3 linked regions of the Cricetulus griseus genome follow. The protein of the gene in region 3 binds, or shares a complex with, the protein of the main gene of each other region. Links are inferred from orthologs where the notes say so. Each region holds a gene or a part of one and is shown on either strand. Other genes may lie near its edges.

Evidence for each region.
Region 1: the proteins of Cfb (region 3) and Cfp are in contact, whole or in part, in a crystal structure (PDB 7NOZ), measured with the Homo sapiens proteins. The link is inferred for Cricetulus griseus from reciprocal best matches to the Homo sapiens genes CFB and CFP. Residues at the interface, in NP_001701.2 of Homo sapiens: Glu54, Gln56, Ser78, Thr316, Tyr317, Leu349, Ser351, Met394; in NP_001138724.1 of Homo sapiens: Arg329, Arg330, Asn331, Lys333, Pro341, Met420, Val421.
Region 2: the proteins of Cfb (region 3) and Cfd are in contact, whole or in part, in a crystal structure (PDB 2XWB), measured with the Homo sapiens proteins. The link is inferred for Cricetulus griseus from reciprocal best matches to the Homo sapiens genes CFB and CFD. Residues at the interface, in NP_001701.2 of Homo sapiens: Glu298, Ala301, Ser302, Ala332, Asp333, Ile469, Asp470, Glu471, Ser472, Glu518, Tyr519, Lys585, Asp758, Glu759, Asp760; in NP_001919.2 of Homo sapiens: Asn157, His158, Ala159, Gly160, Arg161, Arg162, Arg182, Thr183, Asp186, Arg200, Val228, Cys229, Gly230, Asn231, Arg232, Lys233.

Annotation. Positions count from the first base shown.
Region 1 is NC_048604.1:125,777,976-125,782,063, forward strand, and holds the start of Cfp (properdin), read right to left. Parts: upstream 2,941-4,088; 5' UTR 2,148-2,940; coding exon of another isoform or gene 2,113-2,147; exon of another isoform or gene 1,890-2,112; intron 1,532-1,889; coding exon of another isoform or gene 1,475-1,531; coding exon 1,411-1,474; intron 1,324-1,410; coding exon 1,173-1,323; intron 1-1,172. UniProt on the Homo sapiens protein: A positive regulator of the alternate pathway (AP) of complement. It binds to and stabilizes the C3- and C5-convertase enzyme complexes. Inhibits CFI-CFH mediated degradation of Complement C3 beta chain (C3b).
Region 2 is NC_048598.1:100,689,662-100,693,198, reverse strand, and holds Cfd (complement factor D), read right to left. Parts: upstream 2,142-3,537; coding exon 2,087-2,141; intron 1,686-2,086; coding exon 1,529-1,685; intron 1,440-1,528; coding exon 1,292-1,439; intron 1,154-1,291; coding exon 896-1,153; intron 706-895; coding exon 544-705; 3' UTR 510-543; downstream 1-509.
Region 3 is NW_023276806.1:231,398,386-231,401,794, forward strand, and holds the end of Cfb (complement factor B), read right to left. Parts: intron 3,367-3,409; coding exon 3,265-3,366; intron 3,190-3,264; coding exon 3,052-3,189; intron 2,663-3,051; coding exon 2,565-2,662; intron 2,186-2,564; coding exon 2,068-2,185; intron 1,935-2,067; coding exon 1,781-1,934; intron 1,669-1,780; coding exon 1,592-1,668; intron 1,416-1,591; coding exon 1,315-1,415; intron 1,232-1,314; coding exon 1,099-1,231; intron 1,025-1,098; coding exon 975-1,024; intron 766-974; coding exon 610-765; 3' UTR 564-609; downstream 1-563. Other genes in the region: Nelfe (negative elongation factor E), read left to right, coding at 248-318.

The sequences.
Region 1 (4,088 bases), on a different chromosome or scaffold from region 3:
TCAGAAACATCCTAGAGCTATGCTTTGCCTCCTGCACAGGACTGGGTATGCATGCTAGTGGTAAAAGAGATACCAACTGTTAGCATGACTGGGGCCAGAGCTGCTTTCCAAGATACTCAAACCCATCATCCTTACAGTGTTACCTGGAGTAAGCAGTCATAAAATATATCTACAGTATAGTAAGGTTCAACATATGTAAACTGGAAGTCATGATTAGGAGACTTGAGGTGCTTTCAGAGATCAAACTGCCACAGAGGAATTGCACAATGAATGTGTCATTACAATGAAAGGTTTGAGTGTTGCCCTTAGAAGTTCCCCAAAGTCCTCCATTCCTATGATAGATCTATATACAATAAGCACTCAAGTATGATCTGTTATAAGTTAGGAGAATGGAGCTACCACCAAAAATATCCAAGTTGCACCCCATCTGCAATATTTTCAGGAAGCCCTGACTTTTCAATGAAGTACTTTTCAATGAGGGCTGATTTGGTCTCCACCAGCGGACATTTGGCAGTTTCTAGATATGGTTGCCTTTTTAAAAATTCTTCTCTCAGCCGGGCGTTGGTGGCGCACACCTTTAATCCCAGCACTTGGGAGGCAGAGGCAGGCAGATCTCTGTGAGTTCGAGGCCAGCCTGGTCTCCAGAGCGAGTGCCAGGATAGGCTCCAAAGCTCACAGAGAAACCCTGTCTCGAAAAACAAAACAAAACAAAACAAAACAAAAAAAATTCTTCTCTCATACAATACATTCCAACTATAGTTTCCCCTCTTTCCACTCCTGCCCAGATTCACTCCTTCTCTGTTTTCCTTCAGAAAGGAGCAGGCCTCCCAGGGATACCAACCAAACACAGCATAACAAGATACAATAAGACTAGGCACAAACCCTCATATCAGGGTAGGGCGAGGCAACCCAGTAGGAGAAAAAGGGCCTCAAGAACAGGTGAAAAGAGTCAGACACACCCCCACTCCCACTGTTAACCAGTAGAGAGAGTTGTTAAAAACACTTAGGGGAAGGTCAGGTATGTTATAAAATACCCAACAATGCTCAGAACTCATATTCCTAACAAAGAGCTCCAAATGGCAATAGTGCCAAGGTTTTGAGTACTCTTAGAAGGTCCAGGGAAACAGAGTACAGTTCTAGATTACAGGGCTCAGCCCAGGTGCCCCCCGAACCTGCATGCCTGACAGGGACCACCACCATGCTCCTGGAAGGCATAGGCAGCATTGAGACAGCAGTCTTCCACGCTGACATCTCCCCCAAGCAGGCCTTTGCACTTCCCAGAGGACTCTTCATACTTGGTGAAGCAGAACACAGGGTCTGAACCTGTAAGACCAGGAGAGAGGAATGAACAATCAGGGTGTGGTTGTCCTGGGCATCCCTGGGAGGACATCTGGGCCCCCACCCACTTACCTGTGGCTGGCAGGGTAAGCAGTAGCAGCAGTAGCGTCGGAGGAGCTTGCATTCCAGCAAGCATTTTGAGCACTGTCTTTGTCCTCTCTTACAGAGTAAGCCTTCCTTAATCTGGGCTGATCTGCTCAGGAAAGAGGAACCCAGAGCAGGAGGAACTGGGAGGGTATGACCTCTTTAGCTCTGACCTCTCCCTTGAGCCCTCTGCCTCCTCTACTTCTCTCCCCTCTCCATTTCCTGTGTCTCCCTTGGTCCTGTTCTGTCACCCAATATTTGCCACCTAATACCCCACTCCACCCAGAAACCTCTTAGTTTTCAATTAATGCATATGAGACAAATTCTCACTGAAGGGCACTGGAGCCTGAAATTCTGAAGCAAGAACCACCTAGGTGTGTGACCTTAGACAAGTCACTTTAAATTCTCAGCCTTAGCTTCCTGCCCCCCCCCCTTTTTTGAGATGAGATTTTATAATGTAGCCATACCAGGCCTGAGATTTGCTTTGCAGACCTGGATTGCCTTGAACAGGCATGTCACACCATGACTGGCTTGTTTTCTTCCCTGTAAAATGCACAATCTTGACTATAGTAATGGGATCAACTTCAATGGGGTACTGGAGAAGGGTGAAATGAGGGTAGCCCTCCTCAAGTAGTCCGTCAAGGAGAAGGTATCAGGGCAACTGCTTCATCTTCCTTCTTGAAAACCCACCTCTTTCCTAAAAGTGAGGTTCCTGTGGTCAGCATGTGTGTGGGAGGTCAGTGCAAGGGAAGTGAGAAAGGGAAGTGGCTTTGTGTGGGAAGTGATTCAGAAATGGGTTCGGTGGGGTGGGGGTGGAGGTGTTTCAGGCATACCCATTGCCCAAGGGGGCCATCTGAAGAAACCCTTAGGGTCTACAGGGGTAGAGAAGAGAGAATCAGCTGAGGCATATTCTATGCGCACCTAGGATAAGATACCATTTGCCTCTAAGCCTGTTTCCTTTTTTGTAAAATGTGCAGACAAACAGGGCCCTGGGAGGTACAAGACTGTAATCTTAGCTACTTTGGAGGTTGAAACAAGCAGAATGAGAGTTCAAGGCTTGCCTAGGCTACAGTGTGAGTTCAAGGCTACGCTGGCTAATTTAGTGAGATTCTGTCTCAGAAATAAAATTTAAAGAAGGGAAGGGTGGAGGTGAGATTGCTCAGTGTGTGAAGCTCAGTGCTTGCTTCAAAGCCTGATGTCCTGAATTAAATTGCTAGGACACACATGATGGGAGGAGATAACTGACTCACTTAAGTTGTCCTCTGACCTCTCCACATGTGCATTGAGGCACATGTGTGTGGTGTCCCCCCCCCCCCAATAAATAAATGTAGTAAAATGTTTAAAGGATGAGAGTGGCTAGAGATGTAGCTCAGTTGGTAGAGTGCTAGCCTAGCATCGATGAAGCCTTTGGTTTGTTACTTAACGTCATACAAATTGAGCACAATGATGGGTACGTATAGTCTTAGCAATTGGGAGGTAGAGGCAAGAGGATCAGAAGTTCAAGGCTATCGTTGGCTACACAGCAAGGTTTAAGGTATGTGAAATTCCATTTTAAAAACAAACAAGCAAGCTGGGTGGTGATGGCACACACCTTTAAATCCAGCCTGGTCTACAAAGTGAGTTCCAGGACATCCGGGACTGTTACACAAAGAAATCCTGTGTCAAAAAACCAAAACCACAGAGGCAGGCAGAGCTCTGTGAGTTTGAGGTCAGCCTGGTCTCCAGAGCGAGTACCAGGATAGGCTCCAAAGCTACACAGAGAAACCCTGTTTCTAAAAACTAAACAAAAACAAAAACAAAAAACAAACAAACAAACAAAAAAACAAAAGAAACAAGCAAGCAAAGGGATGGCTGGATGTTTAGCTTAGTGGTATGCCATTTGCCCAGCATGAAAGCAGCTTTGGGTTTGATCCCCAGCTCTGAAAATGTAAAGCACATTTATAGCACCTGACATAGTTAGATCTGTAACTGACTGAGAATTAAAATATTTAGAACAGTGCCTGACTGTGTGTATTAAATTGTTCCACATTTATAGAGTGTCTGAGTGGTTCTGAGAATAGAGAACAGAACAGATAAAAATCACTGACTGAAAACTCACTCTCCAGCCTTAGGACACACCAGAATCATTCACAGGGCTTCGAGACTGAACTGCAGATTTCTGGGTCCCATGTATTTCTCATTCAGCGGGTGTGGCATGGGTATCCACTAATGCATTTCTAACAAGCTCCTAGGAGACACTGATGCTGGTTTGAAGAACTTTGAGAAACACTATTTTGGTCCTTGATCCCACTTTAGTTTTCTTGGTGGGTCATAGTTAGAGAAAAAATTTTACAGGTGCCTTGTTTCACTGTTAATGAATGATCCATCTTCAACCCATTTTCCTCAAGGAGAATCTGAGCTCCCCAGACCTGCTTTTCACTTTCTAATTTTTTAAAGGATTTTGTTTTTTTTATTATGTATACACATTCTGCTTCCATGTATATCTGCACACCAGAAGAGGGCACCATGTGGTTGCTGGGAATTGAACTCAGGACCTCTGAAAGAGCAGCCAGAGCTCTGAACCTATGAGCCATCTCTCTAGCCCCTACTTTCTAATTTTTTAAAAACAAGCCTTGCCGGGGGAAGGGGGGAGGTTGGTGGCACACACCTTTAATCCCAGCACTCGG
Region 2 (3,537 bases), on a different chromosome or scaffold from region 3:
GTCTGGGTTCTGCCCATTGTCACCCACAAGCTCTCCAGCCCCCGTGGCGCTGGCTGCAGACATCAACTACTTCCTCAGTGAACCAATATGGGCTCTGGGTTGGAATTCAGCCTTTGTCCGTGGCTTCTCCGTGTCTCAATTTCCCCTTTCAGTATTTATGTCAACTTCGGAGTGCCTTGGCAATGCTGTCCGAGCCCAGACGGATGGTCCTAGGTGCAGCAGGACCTCTGTGGAGTAGGAGTGGGCACCGCCCCACCGTTACTCAAAAGAGCACGCCCGCCTCCGTGTGGCCGAGCGTGGAACCACCTGCCTTCAGCCTCCCGGCTGTGTGTGTGCAGCAGGCGCTCAATAAAGACGCACAGGGAGGCCGGGCGGTGGTGGCACTCGGGAGGCAGAGGCAGGCTAGCCTGATCTACAGCGTGAGTTCCAGGACAAGTAGGCTCTCCGGCTGTAGAGAAACCCTGCTTGGAAAAAACAGTAAAAAGACGCACACAGGGCTCAGATGCATGCATTTATTGTGAGACACGTGTCTTCGGGGTCCCCTCAGATAGTCCAGTTACCATGCATGACATTTTCGATCCAGTCTTTGTAGGTCGACAAGCGGGTGAAAACGCCCGGCTTCTTGCGGTTTCCGCAGACTCGCGAGCCCCACGCGACCACACCCTCGACCTTGTTCCCGCACACCAGGGGGCCGCCAGAGTCGCCCTGTGCGGCGGGGCCACGAGTTACATACTCACCCAATAGCCAAGCCACTCTGACTTTTAAGCAGCTCCGGGGACTCCTGAACGCAGCTCTTCCTGCAAGCCACGCCCCTTCCCGAGCCACGCCCATCGCCGACCTCCGCAGACCCTTGGGCTCCACCCCCACGCCACAGGACCCGGGCCGTGCCACTCACCCTGCAGCTGTCCCTGCGGTTGCTCTCTGTACAAATCATGTTCTGGGTGACGACCCCGTCGTGATGCACGCGCAGATTGCAGGTGTTCCGGTCCATGATTGGCACCGTTAGCTTCTGCAGGACGTCGGGCCGGCGCCCCGCGTGGCTGACCACGCCCCAACCGGCTACGTCGCAGAGCGTTCCAGGGGCCACGTCCCGGTCCTCGCTTTGCAAGGGCAGGGGGCTCACGTAGGGTCCCAGAGACACATTCTGGGACAGCTAAGGGTGGGAGGAGGACAATATCGTGGTGGGGGCGGGGCGGGGCTGGGGAATGGACTGAGGTGGCGGTGCAGAAGGAAGGGTCGAGGCTAGACTCTGAGTGGAGCCCAGGGCGTAGGAAGGACCCAGCTTCCTCACCTTCAAGAGGAGAAGGTCGTCCTCGATGCGGTCAGGCCGGCTGCTCGGGTGACGCACTGCTCTTTGCACGTCGTACAGCCGCTTGGAGGGTTCCGACTTCGACAGGGAGTGGGCACCCAAGAGCACTTGCACAATCTCATCCCCGGTCCTGGGGCCAGGAAGAGGGCCCACCTCAGATCCACGTCCCCCTTCCCGAGGCCCCACTCCCTCCCCTCAGCCCCCATCCTCGCTACTCACACTCCGTCCATGCAGTGCGCGGCGCTCAGCACCCACTGCTCATCCACCAGGGTGCCACCGCACACGTGTGTGCCGTTCACTTGCACCGAAGCCATGCTGGGCCAAGTGTGGGCCTTAGCCTCCTGGCCACCCAGGATCCGGCCTCGGGGCTGCGCTGCTGAGGAGGAGGGCGCGCTGTCAGGGTTAGGGTGGTCTGGGAGAGCTCGGACACACCGACACACACACAACCTCTCGACCAGAACCCCATCACCGTAAAATACACTTCCGAGGGGCTGCAAACTCAGAAGCCAGGTGGGTGGTGCAACTTGCAGGGAATCCTTTCCCTTCTTCCACTCTATGGGTCCAGGGGATCAAACTTTCACTGGCCCCAAGGTGAATTCTAGTTCTTTAAGTCTATAAAGTCTACAGGTTTCAGATTCAGATTCTTGCTGTTGATAAAAGCTCAGAGACCAGGAGGCTCAGATTGCAGATTCTCAGTTTAGAGCGTGTTTGGCTGTAGGGGGCCCCTGGTGTGCCGGCCAGCGGCTGTGTCCAGCTGTCCCTCCCTGGTCCACTCACCACCTACAGCGGCTCCCAGGACCACTAGAGCCACGAGCCACACAGAGCTGTGCATTTTTGACGCCAATGAGTGCAGACGCTGACCCAGGCGGCTCCTAGGGGGCTATTTTATGGGGCAGGTGCCTCCCGCCCTCCGCCTGCCTCGTGGGCAGAGACCCAACTAGGGAACTGGGAATCTGCGCTTTCAGATTTGAGTGTTTCGGCCCTTGTGGGATGGATTAGATAAACCCGCTGGGTGCATGGAGGGGGGTGGGGGTGGTGGTGGGGTGGTGGTGGAATACCTCCTCTCTCTCCTGCCTGAGACTCCGGCCAGTGCCCACCCTGAAGGTGGCACCTCTTGGGAGGGGTAGGAGGTTGAAGCACCCAGCACCCTGGCCCAGTAAGTGTCCTTCCAGCATGGTGTCTGTCGCAATTACCACAGCAGGAGGCCAGTTGGCAATCATCTCCCCATCTTTTTACCCTCCCACACTTCCTCCTCCAACTTGGAGAGAAGGCTGTTTGCCTGTAGGCACTTGAACCCTGTGGCTGTCAGGGTCTGACACCTCAGCAGAGTGTAGCCTAAGGAAATGTAAAAGAATGTCCTGTGAATTTTGCCTTCAGGTATGGCTTGATCCAGGCTCAGTTTCCCCCCCTCACCAGGCTGTTCCCAATTGTGGTTCAGGGACCCTCACTGTAAAATCTGATCCTCATGTTAAACAACATAATGTTTGGCTGAGCCTAGGTCACAAGCCCCATAAGCTAATCCATGGGATGGGATAAGGAGAGTGGGGAGCAGCATGGGAGCACAGCACAACCATCCCTGTTGGAGCATTTGGGAGTTCTTGATTTGGGGGGTGAGCTAATGTTGCAGATGGGAAGTCAAAACCCCTTATTAAAATCAGAAGCCATCTGACAAACGGGGAACCTGCATAAGACCGAAGTAGACTCCCTTAATATAGATGACAGTGGTGTGACTGGGCCAATATATGAGGCCACTGGCAGTGGGTCCAAGATCTAACTCTAATGCACAAGCTGACTTAGTGGAACCCATTCTATATGGAGAGACACCTTGCTCGGCCTAGACACAGGGGTGTAGGGGTGGAGAGGTGCCTTGGTCCTGCCTCAATGAGATGATGGGACAGACTTAGTTGACTTCCTAGGGGAGGCCTTCCCCTCTCTGAGGAACAGGTGGGAGGTGGGGTGGGGAGGAAGTGGGGGGATCCAGAGGAGGAGGGAGGGGGAACTAGGATTGAAATGTAAAAAATAAATTAATTTTTAAGATACAAAAATAAATAAATAAAATAAAATCAGAAGCCACCTGGGTGATTGGGCCTTTCAACCCCAGCACTTGGAAGGCAGAAACAGGAGGATCTCTGTGAGTTTGAGGCCAGCTTGGGCTACAGAGTCTCAGAAACAAAACATAACAAGACAAAACAAAATCAGAAGCCTTTTAGGACAAAATCCAAATTGTG
Region 3 (3,409 bases):
AGGATACCGGCAAGGGCCACAGAGATGTTCTCATCTTTAATTTCATGTATTTCATGATTTCATCATTCACATGTCTCACGCACAGTAACAAGGTTCTGCGTTCTCTAAGCCATAGTGAGACTCTGGCCACCAGGGGGCAGCATAAGCACTGGTAGGCCAAGGCCAGGGCGGAGATAATCAGACTCAGACCTCAGGTCTAACCTGTGAGCTGCTTGACATCTTAATTGTCCCTTTCCTCCCTCCTCAGCTGTCCAGAACAGCCCTAAGGGCTGCCACCGGGACAAAAGGACCCAGATTGTGTACAGTGACGATCTGTAGGAAACCTGTGGATGGCTTTTAGGACACGAAGCTGGATTCCTTGTGCCTCGTATGCCCCCAAGCTGGTCTCAGTAAAATCCTGGGGCAGAAGTTCCCTCACCCCCTTCAGCCTCTAGTCTTTCAACACTTGGGATCGGGGTTAAACCTTCAAAAGTGGCTGTCAGTGTTGATGTTACTTGTAGCAACATGACCAGTGCACACCCCCTGACCCCTTACCCCCAAAAGATGAAGAATACAGTCCTTATCGCAGCTGTTTTAATTTGACCCTCGCCCCTCCCAGCCGGAAGCCCCTCATAGGAAACCCAAATCCTCATCTTTGAGTTTCTCCTTGAGCCAGGGGAGCACCTGGAAAAGGTTGACATGGAAGTCCCGGGCATGAGCAGGTACCATCTGTTGCCGCCTCTGCCCTTTACAGACATCCACTACGCCCCAGCTGATGACACCGACCTGTGCAGGTGAAGGGTGCCATGGGTCACTTGACACTTCATAATCCCATAAAGCAGCCAAGCTGACCCAAAACAGTACACCAGGGGCCCAGCTCGCACTGTCTTCCTTGGTGCACATAGGCCAGATGCTTGGCTTATAGTCAGCCACGTGCATCAAGCGTTCCTTTTTGTGGTATATGTGGCCCCTGGGCGTCTCCCCCACAGACTCACTTGAATAAAGCGGCTCCTCTTGTGAACAATGAGAGGACCCCCAGAATCTCCTGTGGAAGAGAGAAGCTGTAGGGAAAGACGGCTGGGCCCTGTGGGCTTCACCATAGCCAGAGAGCCACCTCACCTTTGCAAGTATTGGGGTCAGCATAGGGGTCCACCCCGCCAGTGCAGAGGAACCTGGGGGTGACCACCTCAGACACATCCTTGACCTTGTCATAGCCTTGTGCCCTCAGAGCATCTCTCTCACAGCTGGCTTTCTGTAGGGGAGAAAGGGTATGATGACTAGAGCTTGCTTGGGAGGGAGCAGGCCTAGGTGGCCTCTCTAGGAGCCCCTTCTCACCTTGTCCCCATTCTTGATGTAGACCTCCTTCCGAGTCAGCTTCCTCCCTTCTTCAGACACGAACAGAGCTTTGACGTCCTTCACGGGGAGCAACTCCTCCTCTGGATGAGTGACAGGGTCATGCTGTCTCCCCACCCATCATGTCTCTCATGTCTCATCCATCATCTGTCTCTTGGGCCCTTCTTAAGAGCTAGGCCCTGTGTTGAGCATAGTCTACTCCCTCTGTGACCCCTGTGTCTTGGCTCTCAGCCTCGTCCTGCCCCAGACCACGCCTTACTGTGCTGCTTGCAAGTGGCTGTCTGAGGAAGCCGTAAGGCTCGGGTGGTTCCCTCCGTGCAGGGGAGACAGATGGGCCTGTTGAGGAGATGGGGACAGTCAGGCAGCAGATACCCTGCCTGCCCTGTGCCCAGTGCCCTGTGCTTCCAGCCCGCCTTCCCCAGCTCCTCAGGGACCTGGCCCTACTCACCTGAGAGTCTGGTCATACTTCAGCTTGGTCTTGAGCTTGATGAGGGCCACATCGTAGTCATAGAACTCAGGGATTCCTTGTGCCTTCTTCTCATTGATGTTGTAATTGGGGTGAAACAGGACCTCTTCGATCTCCAGGTCCTGCTTCTTCCCTCCTGTATGGGTTTATGTACATAAGCAGCCTGCTGGCTCTAGCCCCTGTCACCACTTGAGTTCTGTGGTCCCCGACCTTGGGTGTAAGGACAGGTCAGGCACAGGGTGCTTCCTGGAGATGAGATGCACCCTTACCTACGTTGACCTTGATGGAGTGTTTCTGATCTTCCACTGTGAAGCAGTGTGCTGCCGTCAGCACAAAGTACTCAGACACCACGGCCCCCATGCAGTTCTCGTGGCCTTTCAGTGGGCGCTGGAGGAGAACCAGTGTCGTGTTAGCCTTGGGGTGGGTGGGTGTGTGTGTGCACACTACTGGAGGTTGGCTCCATACATGCTACGACAGCACTCCATAGCCCTCCCCCCTCTCTGTTTCTGCCTGCCTTGCTGTGTAGCCCTGGCTGACCACAAACTTCCAGCAGCTGGGGGTACCGACCGTACATGCCCCCTCCCCCAGCTTCCTTTTTCCATTTCAGTTTCATAAGTTATTGGTGCCGACCCTGAACTCACTATAGCCCAAGCGGGCTGTGAATCTCTGCCCTGCCTCAACTTCTGAACAGCTGGGACTACAGACCTGGCTAGTGTGTACATTTATTTCATCGCCCTCCACAAGTCCCCACTGCTGGGATGCTCACAGTGACTGAGATCTTGGCCTGCCATGGCTGCTTGTGGTAGTCCGTGCCTTTCTTGTGTTCCCACACCATGCCGCAGAGACCCAGAGATTTGGTTTCATCTGGCAGAGAAAGAATGTTGAAGGCTCAAGTCTTGGCAGCCATCCTCGTTGGATCCTTCCTCCAACAAGGAGGAAGAAGAGTGGTTCCCTGTGTTAGATGGGGAACCCCTGTGGCGTAGTGAGAAAAGCCAGTAAGACCAGTCTATCTGAGGATTGAGCACTGTAGACCCAGTCTGGGTGCTGCCTTCTTTCCTCTGAGCCTGTCTTGGCCTCAGTTTCCACATCTGTTCAAATGAACTCTTAGAGTTTAATGATTGTGAGACCAGGAAGTAAAGAACGTCAGGAAACAAGAAAGACACTGGGGTGAGCGGGAGGAAAGGATTGGGGGAGCCAGTCTGCCAGGGCTTCAGGGTGAGGGGAGTCAGTGACCTGCGTCTGCATCTTCCTACCAATCATCTGGTAGAAAACGTCCTCCAGGCTCTCCATGTCCTTGACTTTGAACACATGCTGCTCGTTGTCCTTTTTGGAAGCCAAGGCATTGATGTTCGCGGAGTCCACCAGAGGCCCGACCCCAAACACATACACATCTGAGGCAGACAAAGAAAGGGTGAGGGCCCACGTCCTGAGGAGTGAGAGTGCTGGATCCCAGCCAGGTCACTCACCCAAATAATCTTCCCGGGGATTTTTGCGATCCCTGCCAATGTCCAGCAGGTTTCGGATCTCCTCAATGACAGTGACAGGGTCTCCACCCATGTTGTACAAGCCTGTGGAAAACATGGAGACCATGAAAGTGGGCCCAGACACTGG